Linked DNA regions of Arabidopsis thaliana. The protein of the gene in region 1 purifies or fractionates together with the protein of each later gene. This does not show direct contact. Each region holds a gene or a part of one and is shown in the gene's direction. Other genes may lie near its edges. The genes, in order: AT5G12110, AT1G09640 and AT1G57720.

Region 1 (9,747 bases):
CAAGCTTCGAAGATAACAATGGGTATTAGAGAGAAGCCCCTGACATTGAAGATGTTTCTATCTAAGCCTCCACAACTTAAAAAACTTTTGAGTAAACTTTTGAGGTTGAAGAAGATGATTCATCCGAAACCATTGGAATTGGATTCTAGTTTCGTTTCTTACAGTAGTGATCTCTGTTTATTATAAGTGTATAGATCACAATTATGCAAATAACTCATCCCTATCAATCTGTAATTTACGAGATTAGTACTGTTGAGTTTAGTTTTGCTTTGAAGTATTTTTTTTGGATAATTACGTATTTACATCTTTAAATAGGTTTCACTGTGTGTTGTATATGCGATCCAAGGTGCTTTGAATCGTTAAATTGATATGATGGTGAAATTAATATAGCTTACTATCTCATTAGTGCATAAGCCAAACGTGACAAGGTAACTCATACATGGCAGAGAGAACATTGCTCTGCAATAGCTTCTTACCTTGTTGTGACCTGTGATACTAGTGTGTGACAACAAGAAATGAAAAATGTAAAGTTTCCTTAAAACTTTAATCAAACAGTATAATCAAGCAATGAAATGAACAATTTTGTTTTTAATTTCAAAATGATTATCAAAGTTCTATTCATGTCCGAATATTCGTTTTATTTTAAGGTTATTTCGTTAAGATTCACTTTTGCAGAGCGTCGCCGGCAGCTCAACGATGGTGACTCGCTTAAGACTCGTTTCGAGATCTTCTCGTTACGCCACCGTCAAGTTCACTGACTCTGTCTCAGCATGCTCATGTCGTCGTCTCTTCTCTGCCTCCACCGACCCCGAACCCGAATCTCAACCCGAACAAGCCCCGCCTACGAATCCCGTCACCGGAGACGAAAAGCTACGGAATCTCCGAGTTCTTCTCCAGCAGAATCGAATCGAAACGGCGCGTGGCGTTCTCTCTTCGCTGCTTCGATCGGATTCTACGCCTTTCGCATCGCCGAAAGAGCTCTTCTCCGCCTTCTCGTTATCATCTCCGTCGTTGAAACACGATTTCTCCTACTTGCTTCTCTCCGTGCTACTAAACGAATCGAAGATGATTTCTGAAGCTGCGGATTTGTTTTTCGCTTTGAGGAATGAAGGTATTTATCCCAGCTCAGATTCGTTAACGCTTTTGCTTGATCATCTTGTGAAGACGAAACAATTCAGAGTGACTATAAACGTGTTTTTGAACATTCTCGAATCTGATTTTCGTCCGAGTAAGTTCATGTATGGGAAAGCAATTCAAGCTGCTGTGAAATTGAGCGATGTAGGTAAAGGTTTAGAGCTGTTTAACCGGATGAAGCACGATAGAATCTATCCCAGTGTGTTTATCTACAATGTCCTTATTGATGGATTGTGTAAAGGGAAAAGGATGAATGATGCAGAACAGTTGTTCGACGAAATGCTTGCAAGAAGATTGTTACCTTCTTTGATAACGTATAACACGTTGATTGATGGATATTGCAAAGCTGGGAATCCGGAAAAGAGTTTTAAAGTGAGAGAACGTATGAAAGCGGATCATATCGAACCGAGTCTTATTACGTTTAATACTTTGCTTAAGGGGCTGTTTAAAGCTGGAATGGTGGAAGATGCAGAGAATGTTTTGAAGGAAATGAAGGATCTGGGGTTTGTACCAGATGCTTTCACCTTCAGTATTCTGTTTGATGGTTATTCGAGTAACGAGAAAGCTGAGGCTGCGTTGGGTGTTTATGAGACTGCGGTTGATTCTGGCGTGAAAATGAATGCTTATACTTGTAGCATTTTGTTGAATGCGTTGTGCAAAGAAGGAAAGATCGAGAAAGCGGAAGAGATTTTGGGGAGAGAGATGGCTAAGGGGCTTGTCCCGAACGAGGTTATTTATAACACTATGATTGATGGATACTGTCGAAAAGGTGATCTGGTTGGTGCTCGTATGAAAATTGAAGCAATGGAGAAACAAGGGATGAAGCCAGATCATTTGGCGTATAATTGTTTGATTAGGAGATTTTGTGAATTGGGGGAAATGGAGAATGCTGAGAAAGAGGTTAACAAAATGAAACTGAAGGGAGTTTCTCCTAGCGTGGAGACATATAACATCCTGATTGGGGGCTATGGGAGAAAATATGAATTTGATAAGTGCTTCGACATTCTTAAAGAAATGGAAGATAACGGGACAATGCCGAATGTAGTTAGCTATGGAACTCTGATAAATTGTTTGTGCAAAGGTTCTAAACTTCTTGAAGCTCAGATTGTTAAGAGGGATATGGAAGATAGAGGGGTTTCACCGAAAGTAAGGATATATAACATGCTAATCGATGGTTGTTGCTCAAAGGGGAAGATAGAAGACGCTTTCCGGTTTTCTAAGGAGATGCTCAAAAAGGGAATAGAATTAAACCTGGTGACTTATAACACCCTCATTGATGGGTTGTCCATGACCGGAAAATTATCAGAAGCTGAAGACTTACTTCTTGAAATCTCAAGAAAGGGTCTCAAACCAGATGTATTCACGTATAACTCACTAATATCTGGATATGGATTCGCTGGAAACGTGCAAAGATGTATCGCGCTCTATGAAGAGATGAAGAGATCAGGAATAAAACCCACTCTGAAGACATATCATCTTTTGATCAGTTTGTGTACCAAGGAGGGGATAGAGCTCACAGAGAGATTATTTGGAGAGATGTCATTGAAACCAGACTTATTAGTTTACAATGGGGTTCTCCATTGCTACGCCGTACATGGAGACATGGAAAAGGCTTTTAATTTGCAGAAGCAGATGATTGAAAAGAGTATCGGTTTGGATAAGACAACCTATAACAGCTTGATTCTGGGACAACTGAAGGTAGGAAAACTGTGCGAGGTTAGGAGTTTGATTGACGAGATGAATGCCCGGGAAATGGAACCTGAAGCTGATACATATAACATAATAGTGAAAGGGCATTGCGAGGTGAAAGATTATATGAGTGCATATGTTTGGTACAGAGAGATGCAAGAGAAGGGTTTTCTGTTAGATGTTTGCATAGGCAACGAGCTAGTGAGTGGGCTTAAAGAAGAATGGAGGTCAAAGGAGGCAGAGATTGTCATTTCTGAGATGAATGGTCGCATGCTAGGTGATGTAACAGTGGATGAAGATCTATCTGCAACAGAGAAGCTTTGAAAATCAATAATGTGTGCTTCAAGATAAATCCTTTGACTCCTGGTTCACTTCCACCAATCTGGTCAGTCCGAATCAGGGCTCCGTAGATGATTTCAGTTTGGTTTGGCTCGGTTAAGGTTTTGACTTATCTTATCCACCAGTAGATGTCATGAGTCATGACCGAAACTTTCTTTGAGGACCTTAAAAGTCCACAACGTTTTTATGGGATCCATATTTATGGTAATTTACGATAGGTACAATGACTTTGAGTTAGGCTTTAGGTTGATTGGTAGATTAACAAAGGTAAGAATAGTAAACCATTTGTTCTAGTTATCTGTTTTGAAAATGAGATAGAACTAATTTGTATCATACGCAATGTCTCAAGCTTTTACTGTTTTTTACAGAAAACAGTAAACCGGACTGTACTAGAATGATGTGACATAAGTCAAAAATCACCAAAACATAAATGAGAAAAAAACAAACAAACAAAAATTTAGTAGAGTTTTCAAACGTGTGAGTGGCACGGTGGGAGGGAACACTCTAGAAAAGAAAATTAGCCCCACAAAGTCACTAGAAGCATCTCTTCAAGGCATTCTCTGGTTTACCCTATTTTAGAGTGAGTGAGCTCGTCTTCTCTCCACAGAAACTTAACTTGAGCTGCATCAATGGCGGTTACATTTTCTGATCTCCACACAGAGCGAGGTCTCAAAACCCTCGAGGAACATCTCGCCGGTAAAACGTACATCTCCGGGTAAACACGCATATTCTTTCATAATTTGCTATATCATTCATCAATAGCTTAGATTTTGCACAGTTTCTACTTACATCTTGGAACTCGGTTTTGTTTCAGCGATCAGCTTTCGGTTGATGATGTGAAGGTTTACGCTGCCGTATTGGAGAATCCAGGTGATGGTTTTCCCAATGCTAGCAAGTGGTACGATTCTGTTGCTTCTCACCTAGCTAAAAGGTTCGTTTTATTCTCATTCGTTTTTGCTTCTTGTTGATCTTCTGATTGAATGGCTCTTTGGAGAATGATGACTTCTTTGAATGTTTCAGTTTTCCCGGGAAAGCAGACGGAGTGAGAGTTGGTGGTGGTGTTGCTCCTCCATCTGAAGCTCATCCACATACTGAGGTACTAAAAGTAGTCAAAATATGGAATGACGCCAATGTAATCTGTTTGTAGAATTGAAACAATTATTTGATAGTGTGAGATCAAGTAGAGGAAAATGCAATTGTGGTGCTGTTGGAATGATGATTTTGTATACTGTAATTTAGCTTTGCCCCTCAACTTATATCTGCAGGAACCTGCTGCTGATGGTGATGGTGATGATGATGATGATATTGATCTTTTCGCTGATGAGACTGAAGATGAGAAAAAAGCTGCTGAAGAGAGAGAAGCTGCTAAGAAAGATACTAAGAAGACTAAAGAGAGTAAGTCTTTCTCTAAACTTGGATTGGATCACTGTGGACTATTATAGTGTAAATTGTTAGAATCTTGAGATCCTGCTCATGTTTGGTTACTTTTGTTATTCTCTTTTAACTTTTTTGTTAGGTGGAAAATCTTCTGTGCTACTGGAAGTAAAACCATGGGATGATGAAACCGACATGAAGAAGTTAGAAGAAGCTGTTCGTAGTGTTCAGATGCCAGGTCTTACATGGGGAGCTTGTAAGTCAAAGAATGTTTATCTATTTTGCACAAGAGCTCAAGTTTTTTTTTTTTTTTGGTTTCTGATGTGAGCAATTTGTTGCAGCGAAATTGGTACCTGTTGGTTACGGGATAAAGAAACTCACAATCATGATGACAATTGTTGATGACCTTGTGTCTGTGGACAACCTCATTGAAGACCATCTCACCTCAGAGCCTAACAACGAGTACATCCAAAGTGTCGATATTGTCGCTTTTAACAAGATTTAGACACATGAGAAAGATGTCGAGTTTTTCAGTTTTGGTGTCAGTCTTGTTGTGTTTCGCTAAAGTCTCTTCTTCAAGTTCCAAGGCCAACTTTGGAGTTGAAGCACATTAACTTCACTTCACTTGGTCTTAATTAAAAGCTATTTGTAAGTTCTTGTCTAAGATAAATTGCCTGGGCTTGGTAACGTGTGGAAAGAATTGCGGTTAAAAGGCCTAATATGTGACCACATTGAAATACCAAACCCTTATTTACTGCTTACCCTCTTCTAGGCTATAACAGAAGAAAGCACATGATGGTGTGATATTCAGAAGCATTTTGGTAGCTCCATGTTAAATATGTGGGGAGGATATAAAATATAAGGAAATTTGAAAGATCCATTTTGAGCAAACAAGCAAGAAACACTTGATAAAACCAGTAACCACAAACTCATATCATCCATCACCTCTCTCTCTCTCCTTTCATTTATCTTTATTCTAGAAGAAGAGCATTTTATCACCTTTAAAGCGAAGGAGGCACATACTGTCTAGACAAACTAAACAGATCTTTACCCTCAAAAGGCGATGTCCACTCTCTCCCATTTCCAACTAAAGCAGCTTCCTGCACTCCCATTGCCACACCCATCCCATTCCCATTCGTCATCATTCTTGTCCTTCCATTCATGTGCGCTTCATACGGGGATGATGCTGCACTATATGGGGATGATGCTGCCACATACTGCTGGCTAGGTCTCACACAAGCTAGGCCTTTATCTAGACTCCAGTCGATGTTGTTGTAATCCAAATGCCCCAGTGACCCATCCGTGTTCCAGTCCAGCCCAGAAGAAGATGATCCCGCCAGTGATCCAAACCCCGAGAAGAGCCCAAGAGAAGCAGCTGGAGCCACAGCAGGCGGAGCAGAAGATCCTGCCATTCTGTGACCATTGTTGTTCACTTGGCCTTGATATTGTTGATACTGAAGTTGCTGGTACATCAGGTTTGAGTTCAGATCATTAGGAGGCAGACTTCTTGAGGGCAAGTATCCGTTAGATTGGGCCGCCTCAGATCTATTTGCAGGGTGCCAACCGCTGCCTGCTGCTGCTGCTCCGGTAAAGGATGCATTCATGGTAGAGACAGGTAGCACATTTGTGTTAGCGGATTGAGAACGTTGTTGTTGTTGCTGCTGCTGCTGCATCACCATAACTGGTTCCCTCATATCTTGCTGCTGAAGCCTCTTGAATTGATCGCCTAGAGCCGTCACATAATGTGTTTCTTCTGTTGATCGAGACAGTGGTGTCTGTTGATATGGTATGCGTTTATTCTCTTCAAGGGGGGCATTTTGCTGCAGTTTCATCCACTGCAACTTCATGTGAATTCTTTCCAACGAATTTACACTTTGGTTTTCGGATTCTCCACTAATGTAGCTGGATCCTCTGGGGTAACCGAGATTCTTTCTGTCAAGGGCTTCTTCCCTGCCTGCAGGATACATACCTGAGTTAGGTTGTAACTGGCCTACTGTATTCTGACTTGTGAGCACAGAAGGGACTTTGCTATTGTTAACAGAAGTACTATCACTAATATCCTCTGGTTTTCTAGACGCAGTAGATTGGTCTTGCTTCTGTCTTCTTAATGCTTCTTCTGCTTTCTCAATGTCCCCCTCTGCTGTAACCACAGCTCTTTCTACATCCTGCTTGGTGCACTTATATTTTGTTTCCAACTCTAAGATTCTACCCAACTCTTGTGATATGTCAAGCTTTAAGTTCCCAGAGGTCGGATCTAGTTTCTTATCTGCTACTTTTGCCCCACCATCATCAAACAGCCAATTAATAGATTCCTCTATTTTCCCTTCATTCAACATAAGAGCATAAGTTGCCCGCTCATGAGGAATCCCCATAGATATAATCAGCTGAGCATGAACTTCAAGTTTTCTCGACATGAGATACTGACAGCATCGCTCATGCAACTCCTGAGCTCGCTTTTCCTTTTGACGCTGATGCTTTCTTTCATTCTTCAGACGCATCTTATCTCGCTTGTCATTGTCAGCTCCAGGAATGATTTCTTGTTTTGCAGCAATACTAGTACTAGGTACTTTCTCTTTGTGATCTTCAGATTCACCTGACCAGCTACCATTATTAGAGACAGAATCACAGTCAGCTCCAGTTGAATCCGACTCATCAATGTGTCTGAACCGGCCATTATTGTGAAGAGATGATGAGCCAGTTGCTGAAAGCGACTCAATGGTTTGAAATGTCCCCAAAAGTGGATTATAACCACCAACCACAACACTACTTCCACCCATGGATCCAGACGCTTTACTAGGTGTCTTCTGTGAATCATTCATGACCTTCTTGTCTCTCGATTTCATCTTGGATGCACTAGACATCTTCTCAACACAAAGTTATCCTACAGTTTTCACAAAAAAATGAGATAAGTAAACACAATAATCTTCTCTTAACATCTATATCTAATATCAATGGTGATTTGAGCTCCAATGTCAAAGATGGAGATTCTTCAACATAGATTTCCACAGAGACGACTATTATTACTACTACATCGTTGATATCACAAACGTAATGGATCCATTGCAAGAACGAATCAGAAAATCAAAGACGATACAACAATCTCCGGAGATCAATTCTGAATCGAATAAGGTGAAAACGCAAATTCGCGGCGACAAAGAAAGCATTAGCAGTTGAAATCAAATCCATAACAAGAAGAAGAAACCATATTTGAGCTATAGAGGGACGAAATTCGAACGAATCAAGGAAACCTAAAAGGCGAAAAAGGAAATGCGAGATTTGGAAGAAGAAACCAAATCGAAGTAATAGATCACTGACGGGACGGGAGAGAGAAAGATGAACCTGGTAGGTTGATCGGAGTCGTTGACGGAGAAGCGAGATCCGGAGAAGAAGAAGAAGAAGAAGAAGAAGGTGAGAGAGCTTCAAGGCGATGAGGATGAGGAACGAGAGGAGAGTGCGATTATATGAATAATACCAAAAAAGAGAATAAACTCGGCGTTTCGAATCCCCAAATCGATAACACCTATTGGCAAATTAGGGTTTGGTTTAGACTAATTTTGATTTGTTTCCTTCTTTTCTTTAATTTCTTAACAAACAAACCGAAAATGAGTAGCAAAAACCAAACCAAAGTCTGAGCCATTGATTTCTTTTATTAGATTTTTTCAGTTTTTTTTTTCTTCTAGGTTCATTTCCAGTTGTCTTTGTTTTGATTTCAGTTGTCAACATAACTGATTAATTTAAACATGTTAGATTTACATGGGTAGGACTCGGACAGAAGTATTGTAGTTTTAAGGATTTTGATAACACACACAACTAATAAGGTTTGTACAAATTTCAACAAACAATTAATAATTGGATTCTGTTAGAAAATAATATCCAAAAGTAAGAACTAAGCATAAAAAATAAAAAATAAATGCACTTTACTGAACAATAACGTCTTGTTGAATTACTTGGTGGATTAAGGAGACTTTTCAATTGTCGAGAAAACTCTATATTCTTAAGTCTCTCACATATGAACAACATATGGTTTCAAAGACTTTTGGACAAACCATGACTTCATGATGTGTTTTTTTAATTAATGAGTCATCTCGCCAATATGCAAGTCATACTATTAATGGTTGTATCAAAAGTCAACCCGATAACGAAAGATCTAAAACTCATTGAAGACTAATGATATGTTTAATTAGAACCAAACTCAATCTAAAACTGTACCATAGTATTAATTAAAAATCTAAAAAACCGGAAAACTCAAAACCGAAATCAATGAACCAGCCAAAAGGAGGGGTATCATCGTCTAATATCTGAAACGACAACGTTTTGAGTGGTCTTCGCCGATTGATATAGTTGGGGTCACTCGGAGTCTGTTTTTGGATTTGACACAAAACGCAATGAGCTTAGCTTCAGTTATCCACCACGGAATTCTCCCTCCGGCCAAATCGGATCGAATCTTTCTTACCATTCCGGTGTTCCCGCCGGATTTCAGAGCTCGTGGATGGACTAAGTCTCCTTTCTCTCTCCTTATAAATCCCTCTCTTGCTTCAGGTCCTCCTTCTCTCTTTCTTTACATTTTCTATATTCCTTATCTGTGTGAATGGAAGAAGGATTCATCTATCTGAGTCATGCTAATGTGCTTCTGGGTTACGATTCTTTCAGCTGCCAATCGTCGTCTCTCTCATCTTCCTCCTATCGCGTGTTCCAGAGGTATTGATCAGGAAGATGAAGGTGAATGCTTCTTCTCCAATATTTTCTTCTGTTTTTTTTTTTCCTGAATTGTCTGTGTCAGTCTTACTTTTGCTAGCAAGACACAATTGTATATAAAGGAAGAAGCTTTATCTTGTGACAATAATTTGTTTATGGCATGTTAGTACAGAGAAGGAGAGCAGAGAACTTCTACCACACAAAAACGATGAGAATGCAACCACTTCACGCTCTTCTTCATCAGTAGATAGTGGAGGCCTGAAAGATTATCAACAAGAAGAAACTTACAAAACTTCCTTCAAGACTGTTGCCTTGTGTGTTAGTATTCTCTTGCATCTACTAAGTGATAATGCGTTTTTGATCTATGTGCGAGACCTGATTTCATAGTTATCTCAATAGGTTGGCACTGCGGTGGCATTTGGAATTGGAATAGGTTTGAAGGAAGGTGTTGGCAAGGCTTCAGAGTTTTTCGCAGGGTGTGTAGAGCTTACTATATATGATATATTGATTTTCACT
Region 2 (10,396 bases), on another chromosome or scaffold:
TAGACTTCTTTCCCTTGAACTGACCCGGAATCGGTAAAGCTATAGTATCACTGCTCTCCTCCTGAACTTCAGGAACTTTGGTGGTGTCTTCAGCAGTAAACACAGGAGGGTTACCAAACTGTTCAATCTCACGACGAAGCTTATCCGCAGAAGCCTTAATTGGCATACCAGTACAATGGAAACCAAATGGAAGAAGCACATTAGCTCCTCTTAGCCTATGGTAAGCAGAAGCAAAATCAACCTTGGACAATGAAAAGGCATGCCCAATGTGTAGATAACCATTCATATACGGGAAAGGGAAGGTTGAGAAAAACTTTTCTCCTGGTTTTGGAAGATTCTCACAAGATTCGGCTCTGAATACATCCTCGTCTTCCCACCACTTTCGAACAGTGGCCTCAATCTCAAGAAGACGATCTCTCCTAGCGTAGCTTTTCGATTCCGATGCCATTAAGTGACAGTGCCTACCCCAAAAAAACGCAAACCTCTAATTTAGATATCGGCTTCTTAAGTGCAACACAAAAATCGGTAGATTGAGTCTACCAGCTTGGGGAGAGAATTACCTTAGGGATGATGAACTTTGAGGAATCACGAATCGAGCCCACCGCGAAATCGATCCGAGATTTGACAGAGACAGAGCCAGTGGGAGAGATAAGTAATGGTTTCTAGGGTTTTTCTTTAAGACTACCTTCTTCAGTCTTTGGATTCGACGGCTGATTATTAAACTGAACTAGTCTCGCCAAAACCGGATCCAAGTCAAACCCATTTAGAATTTGGGCCACATCCACTAAAAGGCCCAGATATTTGGGGACTTCAAAGTTTTTTTTTTTTTTTTTTTTTTAACTAGTAGACGTTCAATTTCTTTTTCTTTTTTTGTTTTTTTTTTTTTGTTAAATAATATTCATGTTTTCTTTCTCCTCCCCTTTTCAAATGTTACTGGTTTTTTATTGTGCGATGCTTATGTCGTATATTATATATGGTGGATTGTTTAATGGTATAATTTCATTGTATTTGCAGAAATTTAGATTTGCATGAAAAAAAATGTTGAGAAATTTGAGTTACACCTCAAACTTGAAAGATTAGTAATGGAAGCAAATCTAAGAGACTAATAGTTAAAAGAATTCTCGACTTTGGTTCTAGAGAATGTGATTGATTAATCCTTTCAATCTTTCATCAACACCACACAACATGTTTAGTTAGTTATGATAAGATAAAGAAACCATACATAGATAACATCTTTCAAACTCTTTAGATTCTCAAGAGTCTAACCTTTGTTAAAAATAAGAAAACTATATGATAAAAACAAGGGATGCAAAACAAATATATTGAAAATTTTCTTCAAACGAGATTATTATTTGGCTTAGCTTGTGCCTTCTCGTTCGTCTTGCTCTTACCATCTTCTTTCACTGGATCCTTCTTCTCCAAAGTTACAGAAGACGACGCTTTACCATCTTCTTCTATCTCAAGAGGTTTCGAGCACCACCTATCGAGCAAATTGCATAAAACCGTCACCATTATTATTCCTGCGACGATAATACACCATCCCCAGATTGGGATCTCCATCTTTTTTATGTATTTGTTTTCAGTGACAAAGAAACAAAGTAAATTGTTTGTTGATGATTACAAGTTGCTTAAAAGTTGTTGATATTATAGGAGGCGGGAACTACTCGAAAGACTTGGAAATTTACCATTTTGACAAAAAACTTGCTAGAAAATAACTAAAATAAAAGTAAATCATTCTTCTAATTTTTTTCAATTTATCAACTTTAAAAGTATATTTCCTTTTCTTCATAAATCTCATAAACTAGCAAAAAGATAATGTCATAAACTAATACTATAAAATATATATTTTGTTTTTTTTGTTCCGTCAAATATATATTTTTGGTTTTGCCTGTATTCTTGTTGACTTCCGTTTTTTTTTTCCCCCTTTTTTTTAATTAACTTCCTTTCTTTGCTTTTCCATTTCTTCTTGATTGAAAAATGTATATTGTGTGATTTTGTCTACTTTATTTAAATTATCTTTGAAATCGAAGAATTTCTGCTCTATTAAAAATTCAAACTATAGTCTACGTTGGTATTTGTTTATTTCATTTTATACTCTGCTTATTTTTCTGATACTACATTACAACTACCACTCAAAACTACAATTAATTCCCTAAAAATATTTTTCGTTTCCAAAATTTGTTTTGTGTGAACGATTCCGAACTCCACAATTGATATAAAAAATTATCTTTGAGTTATATTATCAACAACAGAAAAAAGAAAGAAAACAAATACAACGCAAGCCTTGAAATAAAGTCTCATAGATATTTGGCTTTTTTTAAGTGCAACACAAACAAAGCCTTTCAAGACGATGAGCAACAAGGCTTCTTAGCGTTTGATTCAGAAGTAGCAGCCACATCAATTGTTTGGCCTTCCTTGATGTTGGCATTTGCAGTTGTCTGGTCTGAAGATATCGACTTCTTGCTGATGATCCTATAAACCTCCGAGAGAATCGTCTGAAAAGCCTTTTCTACGTTTAATGCCTCGAGAGCCGATGTCTCGATGAAAGATAAGCCTTCTTTCTCTGCATAGCTCTGAGCATCCTCTGTGGCAACTGCTCTGAGATGCTTCAGATCTGTCTTGTTCCCAATCAACATGATCACTATATTGGAATCTGCATGGTCTCTTAGTTCTTTTAACCACCTGCTTACATTCTCAAACGTTGTTGGCTTGGTGACATCATAGACCAAAAGAGCTCCAAGTGCACCTCTGTAATAGGCGCTAGTTATGGCTCTGTATCGTTCTTGCCCAGCCGTGTCCCATATCTGAGCTTTCACAGTCCTTCCTTCCACCTTAGAACAAAGATCATAGGTTTTTTAATAGGTTAATTCAGATCTAATGAGCAGCAGACTCTATGATTAGTGTGTCTGCAACAACAAAATTAGTAACTTCGCAGCTAAATTCCACAAACAACCCAGTAAGAAAACTAGAAACTGTGAAACAACAACCATGATTCATACTTCAAAAGAAAATCATGTTCGAGATCAATTTCAGATGAAGAGATTCTTAGATCTGCCTTAAACAAGGTTTTAGATCTGACATGTGAGGGAGCCTTACACTACCACGTACCAGAGTATCGACAAATTTGGGAACATTATCAATAAAACGCTTAAATTAAGAGATACCAAAGCAAAAATCTCGACCAAATGAAAAAAACAGGCACCACACATGTAAACATCAAAATTCAAAACCAAGCCCAAATGTTCCTACACACAATGACTGCTTCCGAGTATTCATACGAACACAGATACGGATCGAATCGAAAAGCACCGGATGCTGCTTAACTTAGAACTAAACCTAGATCCAGCAACATTTCGATTACACTATATACTATATATATAGAGAGAGATGTGTGCGTACTTGGAGAGTACGAGTAGCGAATTCGACACCAATGGTGGATTTGGATTCTAAGCAGAACTCGTTGCGAGTGAATCTAGAGAGGAGATTAGACTTGCCGACACCGGAGTCTCCGATCAAAACCACTTTAAACAAGTAGTCGTATTCTTCGTCCGGTCTTCTCGCCATTGTTACACTTTTCTCGAGGAGTGCTTTAGATTTGGGATTTTGAAATAGAAAAGGAGAAGATGACAGAAATAAATAAATAATTTAATTTCTCTTTCCCCTTGGATCTTCTCTATTCAACCTTCTCGGCTTGTTATTGCCCAACGACGAAGACCTTTTCTTGTCAAGTTGGGCTTACTAAAAAAGCCTACATATATGTAATTCATTTATACATGCTAATAAAAGGGAAAGTAATTAGAGCTTAACCGGAAAATAAACAAAAATCAGAAATAAAACCAAACAAAACCGAGCCAAACCAGAGGAATACACTCAATACAGATTTTAAAAACCCTACTTCTTCATCATCATCCCTTCAACACTCCTTTATAGCTTTTCTCCGCCTCAACTTTTTGCTTCTTCTCTCTCGATTTGCTCTCACGGAAGATTCTTCAGAATATCTGGTAAGATCCATCGATCGAACAATCTTTTTTTCTCCAGTTAGCTCATATTCATATTTATGATCATGTCAATTGCGAGCTCACTGCTTGATTTTTTTTCCTTGGAACCAGATCCGATATCAGAAGCCCCAAGTTCGCTTGAATTCCGTCTGAGCAATGGCTTTGGTGAGTTCTCTATGATTGTCTACTGTTACGATCGCATCATGTATCGATATAATTGTAGAAACGTTAGATTTGTAAATTTTAGGATCTAAGTTTATAGAACGATTGTTCATACACCAAATTGATTAAAATTATGTTAGTTTGGATATGTAGCTACTCTATTGTTAAGTTATTGATTTGGAATACGTATTATTGTGCTGATGATGAATTACGATTGCAGGTCTTGCACACGTACAAGGGAAACAAAAGTGCTGAGAAGGCACTCATTGCAGCAGAGTACGTTGGTGTGCAGATCGATGTGCCCTCTGACTTTCAGATGGGTGTCACTAACAAAACCCCTGCGTTCCTCAAGATGAACCCTATTGGAAAGGTTTGTCATCACTGGTGTTTGCTAAATTTCTGGACTGAGTATTATTAAGTCTATTTTTCAGCTAACCAAGAGTTATTGATCTTGCTAGGTTCCTGTACTTGAGACTCCCGAGGGTTCAGTATTTGAAAGCAACGCAATTGCCCGTTATGGTAAAGCATTCATAACTTTCTCCTTTAATTGTCTCTCAGTGTCTAGTTTGATTGCTTGTTGTCGTTTGGGTTTAATGGATCTGTTGATATCTCAATACAGTAAGCCGATTGAATGGTGACAACTCTTTGAACGGATCCTCCCTGATCGAATATGTAAGTAGCTGTTTTTTCCCTGGGGGCTACTCTTCTCTAATCCATTGACACCTCTTCTATTGTTTGTCATTCTATTTGTTAGTATTCTCAATGGTTATCTGCATGTTGTTTTTTCGCAGGCACAAATTGAGCAATGGATTGATTTCTCTTCATTGGAGATCTATGCAAGTATCTTGAGGTGGTTCGGCCCAAGAATGGGCTTTATGCCATACAGTGCTCCGGTAAGCTTTTTTGACTTTCATTGGTTGTTTCATTCACTCTTTGTGATGGCAATCTAGGTATTCTTTTCACTATATAAATAGTCTCATCCGTGATTGTTATATAAATGAAGGCTGAAGAAGGTGCGATCTCTACGTTGAAGAGAGCACTTGATGCTCTGAACACACATCTCACGTCTAACACTTACCTTGTCGGACACTCTATTACCCTTGCTGATATCATCACTGTCTGCAACTTGAACTTGGGATTTGCTACTGTCATGACCAAGAAATTTACCTCTGAATTTCCTCATGTTGAGAGGTACTTCTGGACTGTGGTTAACCAACCAAACTTCACTAAAGTGTTGGGTGATGTCAAACAGACTGAAGCTGTCCCTCCTATTGCTTCCAAGAAAGCTGCCCAGCCTGCAAAGCCCAAAGAAGAGCCTAAGAAAAAGGAAGCCCCAGTAGCAGAGGCACCTAAGCTTGCTGAAGAGGAAGAGGCACCAAAGCCCAAAGCCAAGAACCCTCTTGACTTGCTACCACCAAGCCCTATGGTTCTAGATGATTGGAAGAGGCTTTACTCAAACACCAAATCTAACTTCCGCGAGGTTGCTATTAAAGGTGTGTGGTGATATCTTCCTCTACCTAGTTTTTCAGCTTTGCTATCAGGGAATTATTTAGCTATTGGAATCAATTGTTTTTTATCATGTCTAATATTGTGGCTCAAATGCAGGATTCTGGGACATGTATGACCCAGAGGGATACTCACTATGGTTCTGTGACTACAAGTACAACGATGAGAACATGGTGTCATTTGTCACGCTCAACAAGGTTGGTGGGTTCCTTCAGCGTATGGACTTGGCACGTAAATACTCCTTTGGAAAGATGCTGATTTGTGGGTCAGAGGGTCCGTTCAAGGTGAAGGGTTTATGGCTGTTCCGTGGACCAGAGATCCCAAAGTTCATAATGGACGAGGTGTACGACATGGAGCTGTATGAGTGGACTAAGGTTGATATCTCAGATGAAGCCCAGAAGGAGCGTGTTAGCCAGATGATTGAAGACGCAGAGCCATTTGAAGGTGAGGCTCTCTTGGACGCCAAGTGCTTCAAGTGAGAAGAGAGAATGGTTTGGTACTTCCATTTACAGGTTTTGCAGCTGGGGCTTTACATATCTTTCTATCTGTCTGTCTCACATAGGGGTTTTGCTCTGTGACGTGTCGCATAGACTGTTTTTTTCTTTTCTAATCGAGTGTCAAGGACAAGTCTTTTTAGTTCTTTGTTAATGTTTCGCCTCCGTCCAGAATTGTTTACTATACCAGTTTTCGAAATCCTGACCGGCCAGTCTACCCTGGCAATAGGCAATACATGGTCTGGTTTATTTGTTTTACGGTAATTTTGCCTTGATTGATTTTCTTTGACGCGTTTCGGTCAACTTATATACATTGGTCTTTGAGTTGAACATTTAGTGGTAAAGTCTTTTTGGCACATATATTGAACATTTTTCCAATTTTAAAAATTGCTGAAAAAGCAAACTCTTGAAGAATAATAAGTCTAGTTAATTTCGTAGAAGAAGAACTGGCATGTTCATCTCGAAATTAACTAACGAATAAAAAAAGGTAGACAACTTAATACGCCACACAACTCTAATAAAAGAACATGTAACTTATGACAAAATAATGTAACATTTGTTCATAATATTTTTCGTATCAGATTATATATACAAATTGCTGATTATAATTATTATTCGCTGTTTGACCAAAAAATAAAAAATTATTGTTTCGCTGAGAAATGTATAGATAATTATATTATACGTTAGATTGGTAACTACCAAAAATATTACTATATGTTAGATTGGTCACAAAATAAGAAAAGAAAGGTAGTGTATATCAATTTATTAATGACGTATTTAATAAAGTTGGTCTCAAGCGAAATGAATTGTTCTTTACTGCTACAAGGCATATAATCCTGTAAAGAAAATCTGGGTGGTCGAATTGTTCTTTTCCCTTTTTCTAATTTCAACATCAAAAGTTGTTCCACCAGAAGAATTTGTTCTCTGCAGCAGTAAAGATCGATCCGTTCTTGCTTACAAGCAGAAAAATCATATCGACAGAGAGAGATGAGACAGAACTCAGCAACTGGTGGTCTTTCATGGCGGCGTTTACTGTTCTTCGCTTCGATTGGTTTGCAGTTCTTCTTAGGTTCGTCTTCTTCAGATCTATCTGATTTCATTTCACTTTTTTGTAGAATCCTCATCTGATTTAGTATTCCTTTGGGATTTTAGGTTCTCAATTCGCTAGATTTATGTTATATTTAGCTCAACTTGGCTCTTTCTAAATACTACAGTGTGTTTAATCTTTACGCATTAGGTCTTTTGCGATCAGGATCGAAACATGCAGATAGGAAGATTGTATTTCTCTTTTGAGTAGATCTTGGCCAAATCACTAACTTTGTGCTTAACATGTTAGTGAAGAGAAAATAAGCAAAGAGGATTTTACCGTTCAGTTCATGGGTTTGGTGTGGTTATAGTTTCTTTTACTAACTTCACTGGATAATAGTTGTTTACCTTTGTCCTAAATGCGAGACCATGTCCTGATTTGAAGAGGTTGTCTGCAAAATCTATTGCTTTTGTGACAAGTATTTATATAATTCCTCAGTTGTTTCATGGTGATGCTGCAGTTGACTAATGAGATATGTATTTACTTGTTGCCTATAGTTTTCAGACATTTAAAGTTCTTACATAAGCTATTTATACAATTGGCCACCATGTGCTTTTAAAAGAAGTAGGCTCATCTCTTTCTCTTTCCCGTAAATTTCTTTAAATGCATGTTGCAATTGATCTTGTTCTCTGTTGTCTATGTGTGTAGCTGTTGTTGTTCCCCTTTAGTCGAATATAAGAAACATGGTAACTATTTGAGGATAGACTGTGTAGCTTTAGCTGACTAGTGAGTGTCTACACGACAAGATTTTACAGTCACGAGTGCACTTGAGGACACCATAAACCTTGATTTTTTTTTGTTGTATATGCTAAGAGGGCATCTAGTAACTAAGTCTTCTGATATGATATTTTCAGGTCTATCGGGTGATTCCAAGAACACGAATGCAGGAGTTAAGACAGAATCTCATACTTCTTCCAGCAAAACAGGCACAAAAGTTATCCTTGTTCTAGTTGGATTTGTGGCTGTGGCCATGTTCTCGTTCTTCCTATACAAGCTATGGCAAAAGAAGAAAAGAGACGAGCAGTATGCTCGACTGTTGAAGCTGTTTGAGGAAGATGATGAACTCGAGGTTGAATTAGGTCTTCGAGATTAAAAACGCAAATTTGTCAACAAAGGCCTCATGTTTGTTTGTGTTCGTTTGTCTGAGCATGTAGGTGGAACTTATCACTTATGGGTATTTAAATTTGAAGTATATATATACGCATACTTTGTTGGGCTAGTAACTGATGTAGCTGTCTTGTCACTAATCATCATCAGTTCATCAATTATCCTCTCCAGACGATTGTTTTCCAATGTTGTACAATTCATTTTTCTTTCTTTCACTTTTTTTTGACAAATAGCGTGAGTTTAGGTTCTAAACAAATTCGATGTAAGTTTAGGTTCTAACCCTCTAGACAAATTAGTTAAGAGATCTGTGTCCCTGTCTTAAGATTCCTAGAAAATTCTTACTCAAACGATTAGATTTAAGAAACAGAAAGTGTTGAGTTTTACTTTTCCTTAGACCATCTCCAATGGAGATTTCTTAACATGTCTTTTTTTTTTTTTTTTGAATTTAATATTAAATTATATTCAAGAAAAAAATAAAAACTGGTTTATAAATGAATGCATACTGTTTTTAAATAGAGTACAAAACTTTTAAAGTAATCCTCAACTTTGTCTTGACGCAAACCATATTTGAAGTCCGCTCGAGTACTTCAAATCACCTCTGCTTTGAATTGTACTTTAATTGTACATATGTGTTTCTTAAATCTCTTTGTTGTCTAATTGTGGCGGACATTTGAAGTAATTTGAATCTGAACCTTAAATCTCAAAACCAGTAGATAATGAAGAGTAAAATAGACACATGGAGAAATTCAAAACTTAAAATGAAATTAATGTTTGTGTTTCAAAACTCAACACATTATACAGAAATTATCAAGTGGCTTGTTCCTCATGTCCCACTGACACACAAAGAAGCTGCAAGCAAACTCCCTCCTCTTATCATATTTTTGTCTGCCTACAAATATTATGGGCAACAACCTTCATTAGAAACTCCCTAGTGTATACCAAATCACAGATGTTGATAATTAAGGAGGGATTAACATTCATGTCAAAAATATGAATCAAACAATCTAGCCTAAACCAAGAGAGAACTAAGGATTACAGAGGAACGGCCACCGAATAAATCCAACAAAAATACAAAAGAAATTGAAACTGGGAAGATATATATTCATCTACATACCTGTTCGAGTTCATTTTCGTCAAAAACGGTCAATTGCAAGAAGGGTTGGTACGGTTCTTGGCTCCTTTCTTCTTCTCAGCTTTCTCATCAAGCGGATACTTTGCTTTATCATGCTCCGGCAACAGTAGAAGATCCTCTATGTTTATGTTTCCATACTCATCAAGCGGTTTATGTTTCCATGTTTTTAATCTTTTTACCATGGATTCATATGCATATGTTTCAAATTCTATGTTTGTAACCTAAACTATTTTTCATTAACTATGAAATATTTACAATTTAGAAAAAAAAAATGTTAAGTAGATAATAGGATTAGGAGATCTGTGCCGCGCGCGTGAGAGGAAGATCCTTTTTCCTTGATCTGATGAAAAGGAAGTGTTGAGTTTTGAGAAACGGAAAGTGTTGAGTTTTGTCTTTTCTATAGAAGATTTTTGTTTTCCTGTTTTATCTATAAATAAGCCTCTTAAATCTCTTCATCAACAATGACTTGTCTGCAATTACAAGAATGTCGAAAAAGCAACGTTGCTTGATGATGGAATCGCTGCCCCACGAGGTCGTAGAGTGCATCCTAGAGAGACTTGATGCGGATCCTCTGCTGAGATTCAAGGCTGTATCGAAACAATGGAAATCAACTATTGAATCTCCATTCTTCCAGCGAAGACAGTTCACACAGCGTCAGCAATCAGGTAATCCAGATGTTCTCATGGTCTCCCGTTGTGCTGATATTAATTCGGAAATAGAAGCTCTTACTACATTGGTGTTGGGTTCATCATCATCTGTCAAGATCCCTACTCCTTGGGAGGAGGAGGAGGAGGAGGACAAAGAATACTCTGTTTCCCAGGATAGCTGTGACGGTCTCGTTTGTCTCTTCGATAAATTCAAATCCGGTTTTGTGTTCAATCCCGCCACTAGATGGTATCACCCTCTTCCT
Region 3 (10,411 bases), on another chromosome or scaffold:
ACTCTTTACTGGAAAGCCTCTTCTACCCGGAAGAACCGAGGTATAGTTTTCTTCGTGAAACACAATTTCCTTTTTAAGATTTGGCATGTTGGCTTTGATTACGCTAAACAAGTTAATCGTTTTATGTTATCTTAGGTAGGCATATAGACAAGTCAATACAGAAAATGAAATTCAAAAGAACCTTTTGTTTCTTATATGAACAGGTAGAACAAATGCACAAGATCTTTAAACTCTGCGGATCACCTTCTGAGGAGTATTGGAGAAGATCACGGTTGCGGCATGCAACCATCTTTAAACCTCAACATCCCTACAAGCGATGTGTAGCTGATACATTTAAGGATCTTCCTTCTTCAGCTTTGGCCCTCCTTGAGGTTCTTCTAGCTGTAGAACCAGATGCACGTGGAACCGCATCTTCGGCCCTTCAAAGCGAGGTTGACCTATGAACTTTACTCCGGTACTAGATTAGGGCTTCAATACCTTTTACCCACTTTTCGCCTACTTTTCATGTTTTAGCTGAGAAATCATTAGCATTGTAGCTTAGACATATATGTTGATATTACTCTCTTTTTCAGTTCTTTACGACAAAACCTTTTCCAAGTGAGCCATCAAGTTTACCGAGATATCAGCCAAGGAAAGAATTTGATGCCAAGCTTCGAGAAGAGGAAGCAAGACGGTATGATTCAAAGCTTCTACACATTTTGTCACCATTTGCAAGTTTATCTTAGCAACATTTATGACTCCCAGTATTTTTCTCATGAACAGACGGAAAGGTTCGAGCAGTAAACAGAATGAACAGAAGCGGTTGGCTAGAGAGTCCAAAGCTGTACCGGCTCCTAGTGCCAATGCCGAGTTACTGGCATCAATACAGGTAATTTCTTAGTCTACAGATGCATGTGTGTGTTTGTGTGTATGTATGCCTATGCTTCTATCTTATTACTTGGAATTTTTCCCTTTCAAAGAAACGTCTAGGGGAGACTAACCGGACAAGCATTAGTGAGAAGTTTAATCCTGAGGGAGATTCTGGCAATGGCTTCCGGATCGAACCACTGAAGGGCAATACCGCACAAAATCCCTACCCAATCTACACAAACGGAGACAACCATCCTAACGGATCAAGCCAACTGAGAACACAAAGGTCCTATGTCCAACGCGGGTCTGGCCAATTGTCAAGATTCTCAAACTCAATGGCACCTACTAGAGATGGATCACAGTTTGGAAGTATGAGAGACGCTATAGTGAACCAACGCTGGCTTGAAGATGGTTCAGAGAATTTCAATTTGTCCCAAAGATTGTTGGAGAAACCTAATGGTATTAGGAAAGATGACCCTTCATCCTCTAGCAAAGAGTCAATAATGGTAAAAACGAGAAGTAACACTGTTGTTATTAGTCTCTTGTGTTTGTATATCTGTGGCTAAACATAATTTGGTGAAAGCAGGGCTATGATGGTGAGAAGAGAGGGAGGATTCAGTACTCAGGACCATTGATTCCAGGAGAAGGAAACTTGGATGAAATGTTGAAAGAACATGAAAGACAGATCTTGTTGGCTGTACGACGAGCTCAAGCCGATAAGGCTAAGAGAGACGATAACCGACAGGCTCAAACCTTGTTTCCAGCTAATGGAAGGTGATATTTTGGGGGATTTATTCAAAATGAGTTTCTTAGAGAGAGTAGTGCAACAATAAACAAACTTTTTGGCTAAAAATCTGATGATGGTTCTTCATCATACTTGCATTTTTTTGTTTGTTAGACTTGTATGGTTTAGAAGAAAGGTTTAGGATTTAGGATCTTGAGTTGTATAGTCAAATTGCTAACAGTTTATCTGATTAATGTTCTCCATTCTTTTGGATAATCTAATAAATCTTGATCATAGAGAATAAAGATTCACCAATCACTAAATCCTACTCTGTAGTGAAAAGTGAAAACGATGTTATTATTCGTCAACGAGCTCTCAAACTAAAGTTTAGAAACCTTTTTCTATCTCTCTCATTAAAACAGATATCGAGAGACTAGTTTCGTCTTGACTGCATTAAAAGTGAGGCGTTTTCAATTTCATTCTAATATAAAAAATTAAAAAGAAAAATATTTTTCCACTGCCGAGCTTTGAACTCGGAAATCAGATGTTTAGACAGCTGTTTTAACCATTGTGCTACAGCGGATCTTTGTATAAATCAACGGATTTTGAGATAAATCTTTTTTTTTATCAACCACAAATTATTTAAAATATAACTTCATGATTGATTGCCTAATTTGGAGAGAAATAGTCTATAAAATAAATTTCCGAAAGCAGTAAACGAGAAGAGCGAACTAAACAATCCACCTTACAATTATATAAACGAGAAATATAAGAAATCGAGAAACCGGAAAATAACACACAAAGCATTCTAAACTCATCTAGTAGATTGGATAAAGTGGGTCATTCTTCAAGAGACTGCACCATCGAAGACTAACTTCTAACAATCTGTTTCAAAAGCCTTACAATCAATCCTTCTTGAAAGGATATTCTTCATAACCCAAATTAAAACTTTCATCTCCGAGTGTAGGGAGGAGGGACACCTCCGAAGACACTTTGCACCAAGAAAGACCCTTTGATCATTTCCTTGAAAACACCCAAAGATTTTCATGAACCATCAATCTAGTATATTAGAGATTGAATTGGATTAGCCAAAATTTTCCTATTAACATCGGGCCATAACTGCTAATGATCCTGACACAATTTGTCATAGAAATTTTTTAATTTTAATTTTTGCAATATTCTTTATGAAACATATGATTCTTTATGAAACATGATTCTTTATCGCATTAAAAAAAAGATATTTTCTATCGGGCTTTAAACCTGGCAATCAATTATCAATGAGATACATTAACCATTATGTTACTGCAGATCTTGGAGTAAACCAAAATTTTTTTAGATAAATCATGAATTAACCATATTCTTTTCGAAACAAAATATCTTTGAGTAAAGCAACAAATCTTTAGATAAATCATGAATTTACAGTATTAGGATTCTTTTTGTAACATATGAATATATTTTGTATATATATATACATCAATGTAAAGAATTACATGCATAAGTTTTTTTTTTTTTTTTTTTTTTAGCAACATGCTTAAGATTTACTATTACATATTTGAAGCTAAATCTAAAATTGTAAATAGTACGTTTTTAGGTTTTACAAAAGCCTTCAAATTATGTGGAATATAAACCCTAAATATTGAAGAAAAGTTATTCAAATTCTGCTTGCAAGCTCAAGAAAAATAACATTCATCATATTTTCTGCAATATTCAGATTATTCGTTGATCACCTAATATCAAAGTATTTCTTGGTTTTTTTTTTTTTTTTTTATAAGCTGCATGAATCTTTCCACTGTTTTAATTAAACTATGTCAATCGAATATGCGGAGCTGAATCGAATTTTATCCTTCTGACTTAATATTTCTCACACTCACTCACTCTCTCAATCTCTCAAGAACCACCAAAGAAAGAAAAACAGAACAAGAACAGAGGATCCAAGAAATAGGAAGAAGAAAAGACGTGAGGCTTTTACGATTTCGGGACTTGATTGAGATCCCTACGTTACGTAATACTTGCAATTCACTATCTTCTCAGTAACTGAATTTCTCACACGAAATTACATATGTTAAAATGTATATATATATCATACACAAGATGGATCCTTGCTCTACCTTTTTATAGCATGCTTTGTTACAACAACTTTTTTTTTAATTTGGTTGTTGTAAAACTTTGTTTCAACAATTATAACAGCCTTTTAACATAACATGGACATTAAACCAAACCTAAAGCGAGTCTACAGCAGCTCAATTATCGGTTCTAATCCGATATGCACATAGCCAACCCACGGTTAAAAGTTGATTTCATTTGATTTCCATCACCAAGGTCAACACTATCAACGTTTTTTGTTTTTTTTGGTCTAACTATCAAAGTTTAATTTCCCATAATATGAAGCTAACCATGCAATGTTGTAAACCCGAATTACATTTTGGTTTCTTAGACTTGATGATGAGTTGATGACTAATTGAAAACAAATTTAAGAGCTTACTAGTGTTCTCTCCAATGCTTCTTTTTTTTTAAATTGGAATTGATCACACACATATATATATTTACGCATATATGTATATATGGATGTGAACAATTAGTATTATTTTACAATAATAGTAAAAAAAAAAATGAACTTACAAATTACAAACCAAACTTGACGATATATGCATGCTCTTTGAGATCATCACACGAGTTGGTCGGAGCCACCTTTCGCAGTCTTGTCTGCTTCGGCTGGTCCATGTTTTTTCTCGGCTTTACTATCTGCGATTCTCTCTCGAGGGCTACACAAGATTCTTCCCAGAAAATGGGAAGCAATTGCCAAGAATATGATCACTATGACGATCAAACACCATTGCCAGATTGGAACCTCCATATCTTTAGTTTGGATTTTTGGTCACACAAAGTAAACGCAGTGCAGAAGAAGAAGAGGCGGAAGATGCTTGAAATTAAAGTTGTTGGTACTGTTGACCAAAAGGAGTAAGTTGTGAAGAAATGATACGCAAAGACTTGTGGAAGGTAACCAATTTTGTAAACTTCGTAGAAGAAATCGAACTCAATAAAAAAACATCTATATATGTATGACATACGAACAATAACATAGTTTAGTGGACCTACCAATAATGCCCTCTAATAGTTTTGGAAGCTACTTAATTAAAAGATTTTATTTCATTTTCACAAAGTGAAAGAAGGGTTACAAAATTCATCAATTTTGTATTTATTCAAACCCATACTTGGAGTTGGTGTATCAAAAACCTAATTATATTAATTGGCATTGTACGTGGTAACGTTTTAGTTTACATCTATGGATCAATCTTGCATAATAAGTTAATAACCCTTTTGAATTTAAAAAGCACAACACAACTTATTTTTAAAAAGGATATATCATTTTCGGATTTAAAGTTTAGTTTGTATGGTCTAAAACTTTGTTTTTGGTTGTCGTTTAGGATATCTTGGAGAGGAAGAAACCACATAGAGACATGAATCAGAGAAGTAACTTTGTGAGGTTGCTTCTACGAATTTCGATGAACTAGTGTTTCTTTTTCTTCTTTTTCAACAACATGCGAGTTTGGCACACCAAGGATATGGATACAACCAACTAAACTACATATCAAAATGGCCATGGGGAAATGTCAGCAAAATCTGTCAAAAAATGCAAAAACAAAACTCCAACTTTACTTTGGGTAAAACAATACGCTAATTTTTATTATGTTATACATAAATGCAAAAGTTATAATCGTTTAAACCTTAAAAATAAGCAAACCAAATTTGACAAAACCAAAAGCTAAACCGAATCAAACGAAAAAGGAATATTCTCCAAAACCGACTTCACACAGCCCTAATTTCCACACTCTAATACTATTTCTCGCCGCCGCTTTTGTATCTTCTTCTCTCTCGCTTTGCTCTCTCGGAATTGTTTTTGCAGAAAGTCTCTCGTAAGAATCAATCTATCAACTTCTTCTTCATATACGCTTCTCTCGTTTCAAAATTTCATCGACGATTAACTGATTTTTACTTGGTGTTTTCTTTGGTAACTAGATCTGAACTCAGAAAATCTCCGAGTTCGTATATCTTCTCCGTTTGAGCAATGGCGTTGGTAAGTACTCACTTCTGAGATCATTACACGTTTCATCAGATCCGTCACGATTGGTTTTACTGATCTGTTGATGATAGTTTATGAATTTTGATTCATGTATCTTAAATCTGGGAATATAGTTTGATTTTAGAATGATTTAGGTATCTTGGACGATTGTTTATTAATCTGAGAACTGGATTTTGTGTTGCATTGAAAAACTACTTTGGATGAATATAACTATGCAATTTCTGTTGAGTTTCATTGATGAAGTTTGTGTAAATCATACTATTTATCAGGTCATGCACACATACAAGGGAAACAAAGGTGCCAATAAGGCACTTATTGCTGCAGAGTATGCGGGTGTGAAGATCGAGGAGTCCGCAGACTTTCAGATGGGCGTCACTAACAAGTCACCTGAGTTCCTTAAGATGAACCCTATTGGAAAGGTATGGAATCTCTTTCGAGAAGTTTTGATTGATGTTTGCTGTAAATTCCTAGCTAATAAAAGATTATGATCCCACTAGGTTCCTGTGCTTGAGACTCCTGAAGGTCCCATATTTGAGAGCAATGCCATTGCCCGATATGGTATAACTTCATTTCCTTCTGTTTCTCTTTGATGCACCTATCTATAACTTGGTATTAATTGGATATGATGATTGTTTTGTTATCCCCCTTCAGTGAGCCGTAAGAATGGTGACAACTCTTTGAATGGATCCTCCCTTATTGAATACGTAAGCTCCTGTTTATCCAATGGCCTTTCCTTTTAAAATTATCGTACCTTTGTGTTTATCTCTTGTTTACTATCATTGATTCATGTCTATGTGCATGTGTTTACTTTTCAGGCTCACATTGAGCAATGGATCGATTTCTCCTCATTGGAGATTGATGCTAACATGTTGAAGTGGTTTGCTCCAAGAATGGGCTATGCTCCCTTCTCTGCCCCAGTAAGCTTTCCCTCATTTTTTGTGCCTTGTCTCATGCACTCTCTGTACTAACAAATCATGCTACTCCTTACTCGCTAAGATTAGTATTTGACTAGTCTAAGCTTGACTAATCTTTTTAATGGTTTTATCTGAATGAAGGCTGAGGAAGCGGCAATTTCTGCATTGAAGAGAGGACTTGAGGCTCTGAACACACATCTCGCCTCCAACACTTTCCTTGTTGGACACTCTGTCACCCTTGCTGATATTGTCACAATCTGCAACTTGAACTTGGGATTTGCCACCGTGATGACCAAGAAATTTACCTCTGCATTCCCTCATGTTGAGAGATACTTCTGGACAATGGTTAACCAGCCAGAATTCAAGAAGGTGTTGGGTGATGCCAAACAAACCGAAGCTGTCCCTCCAGTTCCTACTAAGAAAGCTCCACAGCCTGCTAAGCCCAAGGAGGAGCCCAAGAAGGCAGCCCCTGTAGCAGAGGCACCAAAGCCTGCTGAGGAGGAGGAAGCACCAAAGCCTAAAGCCAAGAATCCTCTTGACTTGCTACCACCAAGCCCAATGGTTCTCGATGACTGGAAGAGGCTTTACTCGAACACCAAATCCAACTTCCGTGAGGTTGCTATCAAAGGTATGTTATATGATGACTTCTGTTAATTGTTCTTTAGAAGAAATTGTTCTAGGTTTATGGAATCAACTTGTTAAGAAGAAAGCTACAAAAATCCGAGACAATGTGCTGTGACATCCTTATAATACCAGTGCTTACTAACGACTCTCTAAACAATTCACAGCTGCTCTAGTCTACTAAATTGCCTCCTAAGCTAGATATAGTAGACTTAGAGGGGTACTCACTATGGTTTATGGGACATGTATGGCCCAGAGTCTGAAAGTACATTCTATTAAGCTCAATGCCTTGAATGTTTTTCTTCATTGCAGGATTCTGGGACATGTATGACCCGGAGGGGTACTCACTATGGTTCTGTGACTATAAGTACAACGATGAGAACATGGTCTCCTTTGTTACACTCAACAAGGTAGGAGGGTTCCTTCAGCGTATGGACTTGGCACGTAAATACTCCTTTGGAAAGATGCTTATTTGCGGGTCAGAGGGTCCTTTCAAGGTGAAGGGTTTATGGCTTTTCCGTGGACCAGAGATCCCCAAGTTCATAATGGATGAGGTGTACGACATGGAGCTGTACGAGTGGACTAAGGTTGATATCTCCGATGAAGCACAGAAGGAGCGTGTTAGCCAGATGATTGAAGACGCTGAGCCATTTGAAGGCGAGGCTCTTTTGGACGCCAAATGCTTTAAGTGAAAAGGCTCTTTGTATCTCCGTAGAGGTTTACTCTGTTACTCGTGTTTTGATACCTTCTAGAGAGTCCTTACCACCTTTTGAATCGTACTCGGGTTTAAGAACTAGTTGCTTCTCAATGTTATTTTGACAGAATATTGTTCTTAAATACATTACAACTTCTAGTTATTGTTTTTATTTTGTTTTTTATTATCCAAACTCGTGTGTGTGACATTCTCTCTTTAAATTAGTTGCTTGGAAGATGCAAAGAATCTCGTTTAATGGGGCATACTGAATTTCATTTTAAAGTTGTAATATTACACGTCTCTAACTTGTCTCTAACACGTCTCTAACTTGATGATTCAGATATGTTCACTAAAACCCAAATTCCTTTTAAGCCAATCGAATGTTGGTCTACACAGCAACATTTAAGAGATAGGTGTAAGAAATAGAGCCATGAGGTGAGCTTATAAGGAGAGTGTATGTTGAACATGTTCATAGATATTAGGTCCGAGAGGCTTAAAATCACTCAAGTTTATTAAGATGAGAAGATATACCAAGTAAACCTAATTCGTTCTCTACAAAGAGTTTAATGACCAAAATAAACAAAAGGTAGATTAAGATCTTGTCTTAAGAAAATCAAATAAATCGAATCATTACTATATTATCTCAAACAAATCGAATCATTACAATATCATCTCAAGAAAATCAACAAATCATCATTCTTAACCTAAAAACCCTAAAAAAAGAAATCTTCATGACTCTGTTTAGGAGTAGTAGGGATAATCGTCGTCATCTTCATCTTCAAGAACAGTGCGGCAGAGAGGGCACAAATTACTATGACCCAACCATTTGTAGATACAGTCATTATGAAAGACATGGGGACAATTCGGCATCTCCTGATAGTCATGTACATCCTGTGACATATCCTCCAAACAAATAGCGCATGTCTTGTTTTCTAGAGGAGAACTAGAAGTGGATTCTTCGACGAATCTCACTGTGACGTGAAGGTACATGTCAAACGGCGCTGGAACTCGTTCGGATGCTAAAGCCATCTCAACGCAAAGACGAGTGCCTGAGATACTGTCTGGAAAGATTGTTTCGAGGAGAGGAGAGGTCTTGTGTGGATCAAAGTTAACGACGTCTTTTAAGATAAGTTGAGTGATTTGGAACAGAGGAGCATCATCACACTTGTCGTCGCTCTCACGCTTGAGATTGATCTCCACTGTATTCGATGAAGACTTGCGTGGACTCGGAAAGACGTTAACATCAATAGTGATTTCTGGAACCATTGTTGGTTTTTGGAATTAGAAGACAAAGGTATGAAACCGAACAAGAGACGGAGGCAGAGAGGAAGTGATGGTCTTTGTGTTGTGATGAATGTTGTTGACAAGTGATCTTGTGTTTGTTGTTAATTTTATAACTAAACCTTAAGTCGGCGATTTCCATTTTTTTTACAATTTCCTTTTTTGTAATCTCGTTTTTGTTTTTACAATTTCCTTTTTTTGGTTTTAACCTCATATTTTTAGCTTCTCAATTAAATATTATAAAATCTCTAGTTATCATAACTACGTAGGTTTTTGTAACATCTTTTTTTTTCGACATCCATAACCACTAAGATTTGTAACTAGTAAATTCTACAAAATTATCTCAAATCAAATTAAATCTCCATAAAATTTAAAAGTATCCAAATAAATCCAAATCACTAATTTAATTTTAATGAAGCATAGACAGAGATTGCCAGTGTTCTTTTGGGGGAAAGCACCTGGCTTTGCTAACTTCAGGGTTCTTAGACCATTAAGAAAATTTATAACCTAGTAATTTGCTATATATGTTTGCAATGTTAGCTAGAGAGGCATAACAGTGCAAAATCCTGCAATAGCAACATCTTCTTGTCTCTTGACAAAGTATAGGTAATGATTTTGTTGCACAGTATAATCTGTTCAGAGTATGAGTTAATCCTGTCGGTAAAAACCTTCTCTTATTTGTCATTGTGCAGTAAAACATAGTCTTAATTGTGGCTTTACAACGAAGATTATCTTCTCAACCAAATGCCTGGAGATGCAGAGGTCGAATCTTGTTTCTACTGTAATACCAAACTTGCTCAACTCTTGTCATTTAGCTTCATTTTATTTTAAGAACACAAAATTTGGGAGAGCTCTTGCTTCTAAATTGCTCAAGCTCTGTTGATTTTTTGGTTTTTTCAGCTAAAAGCTTTAGGCATAGATAATATCTTGGTTTCGAATGGCCTGCGCCTCCGTCCCATGAAGCAATGATCCTAGCACTTGAAGTACTTTATTCACTTCAGATCCTTGATGATGATGCTATACTTACTTCGCCAACAGGATTCCAAGAAGTAGAACTTCCACTGGTACTTTATCTTCTTGACCTTGAGTTATCTAAAATATAATGTTCATTTGCATTTTCTACTGCATTATTACATGTCTCCATTTCATCATTTTTGATATCGAAAATGATTTTGACTTCAAGTGAGCTTGGTTGTTCAGATGAGATCATTGTAATCGCTGCAGTTCTCTCTATCCTAGGAATAGCT

What was found.
Region 2: the proteins of AT5G12110 (region 1) and AT1G09640 fractionate together in Arabidopsis thaliana (co-fractionation; one large-scale study listed by BioGRID). This does not show direct contact.
Region 3: the proteins of AT5G12110 (region 1) and AT1G57720 fractionate together in Arabidopsis thaliana (co-fractionation; one large-scale study listed by BioGRID). This does not show direct contact.

The regions. Positions count from the first base shown.
Region 1 is NC_003076.8:3,910,692-3,920,438, forward strand, and holds AT5G12110 (elongation factor 1-beta 1), read left to right. Parts: upstream 1-3,776; 5' UTR 3,777-3,791; coding exon 3,792-3,877; intron 3,878-3,976; coding exon 3,977-4,093; intron 4,094-4,182; coding exon 4,183-4,258; intron 4,259-4,427; coding exon 4,428-4,557; intron 4,558-4,678; coding exon 4,679-4,792; intron 4,793-4,877; coding exon 4,878-5,041; 3' UTR 5,042-5,537; downstream 5,538-9,747. Other genes in the region: AT5G12090 (Protein kinase superfamily protein), read left to right, coding at 1-186; AT5G12100 (pentatricopeptide (PPR) repeat-containing protein), read left to right, coding at 697-3,147; AT5G12120 (Ubiquitin-associated/translation elongation factor EF1B protein), read right to left, coding at 5,538-7,397; PDE149 (integral membrane TerC family protein), read left to right, coding at 8,922-9,075, 9,187-9,255, 9,404-9,549, 9,631-9,707. UniProt on the Arabidopsis thaliana protein: EF-1-beta and EF-1-delta stimulate the exchange of GDP bound to EF-1-alpha to GTP.
Region 2 is NC_003070.9:3,116,008-3,126,403, forward strand, and holds AT1G09640 (Translation elongation factor EF1B, gamma chain), read left to right. Parts: upstream 1-3,731; 5' UTR 3,732-4,001; intron 4,002-4,109; 5' UTR 4,110-4,154; coding exon 4,155-4,163; intron 4,164-4,380; coding exon 4,381-4,530; intron 4,531-4,618; coding exon 4,619-4,679; intron 4,680-4,779; coding exon 4,780-4,832; intron 4,833-4,951; coding exon 4,952-5,053; intron 5,054-5,163; coding exon 5,164-5,653; intron 5,654-5,765; coding exon 5,766-6,145; 3' UTR 6,146-6,535; downstream 6,536-10,396. Other genes in the region: AT1G09620 (ATP binding/leucine-tRNA ligases/aminoacyl-tRNA ligase), read right to left, coding at 1-448; AT1G09625 (uncharacterized protein), read right to left, coding at 1,336-1,560; RAB11c (RAB GTPase 11C), read right to left, coding at 2,343-2,831, 3,400-3,564; AT1G09645 (uncharacterized protein), read left to right, coding at 7,148-7,229, 8,102-8,340; AT1G09650 (F-box and associated interaction domains-containing protein), read left to right, coding at 9,971-10,396. UniProt on the Arabidopsis thaliana protein: Probably plays a role in anchoring the complex to other cellular components.
Region 3 is NC_003070.9:21,372,234-21,382,644, forward strand, and holds AT1G57720 (Translation elongation factor EF1B, gamma chain), read left to right. Parts: upstream 1-5,086; 5' UTR 5,087-5,487; intron 5,488-5,501; exon of another isoform or gene 5,502-5,590; 5' UTR 5,591-5,639; coding exon 5,640-5,648; intron 5,649-5,923; coding exon 5,924-6,073; intron 6,074-6,151; coding exon 6,152-6,212; intron 6,213-6,305; coding exon 6,306-6,358; intron 6,359-6,469; coding exon 6,470-6,571; intron 6,572-6,709; coding exon 6,710-7,196; intron 7,197-7,501; coding exon 7,502-7,881; 3' UTR 7,882-8,146; downstream 8,147-10,411. Other genes in the region: AT1G57700 (Protein kinase superfamily protein), read left to right, coding at 1-40, 204-431, 573-673, 763-868, 960-1,355, 1,436-1,627; AT1G57730 (RING/U-box superfamily protein), read right to left, coding at 8,625-9,149. UniProt on the Arabidopsis thaliana protein: Probably plays a role in anchoring the complex to other cellular components.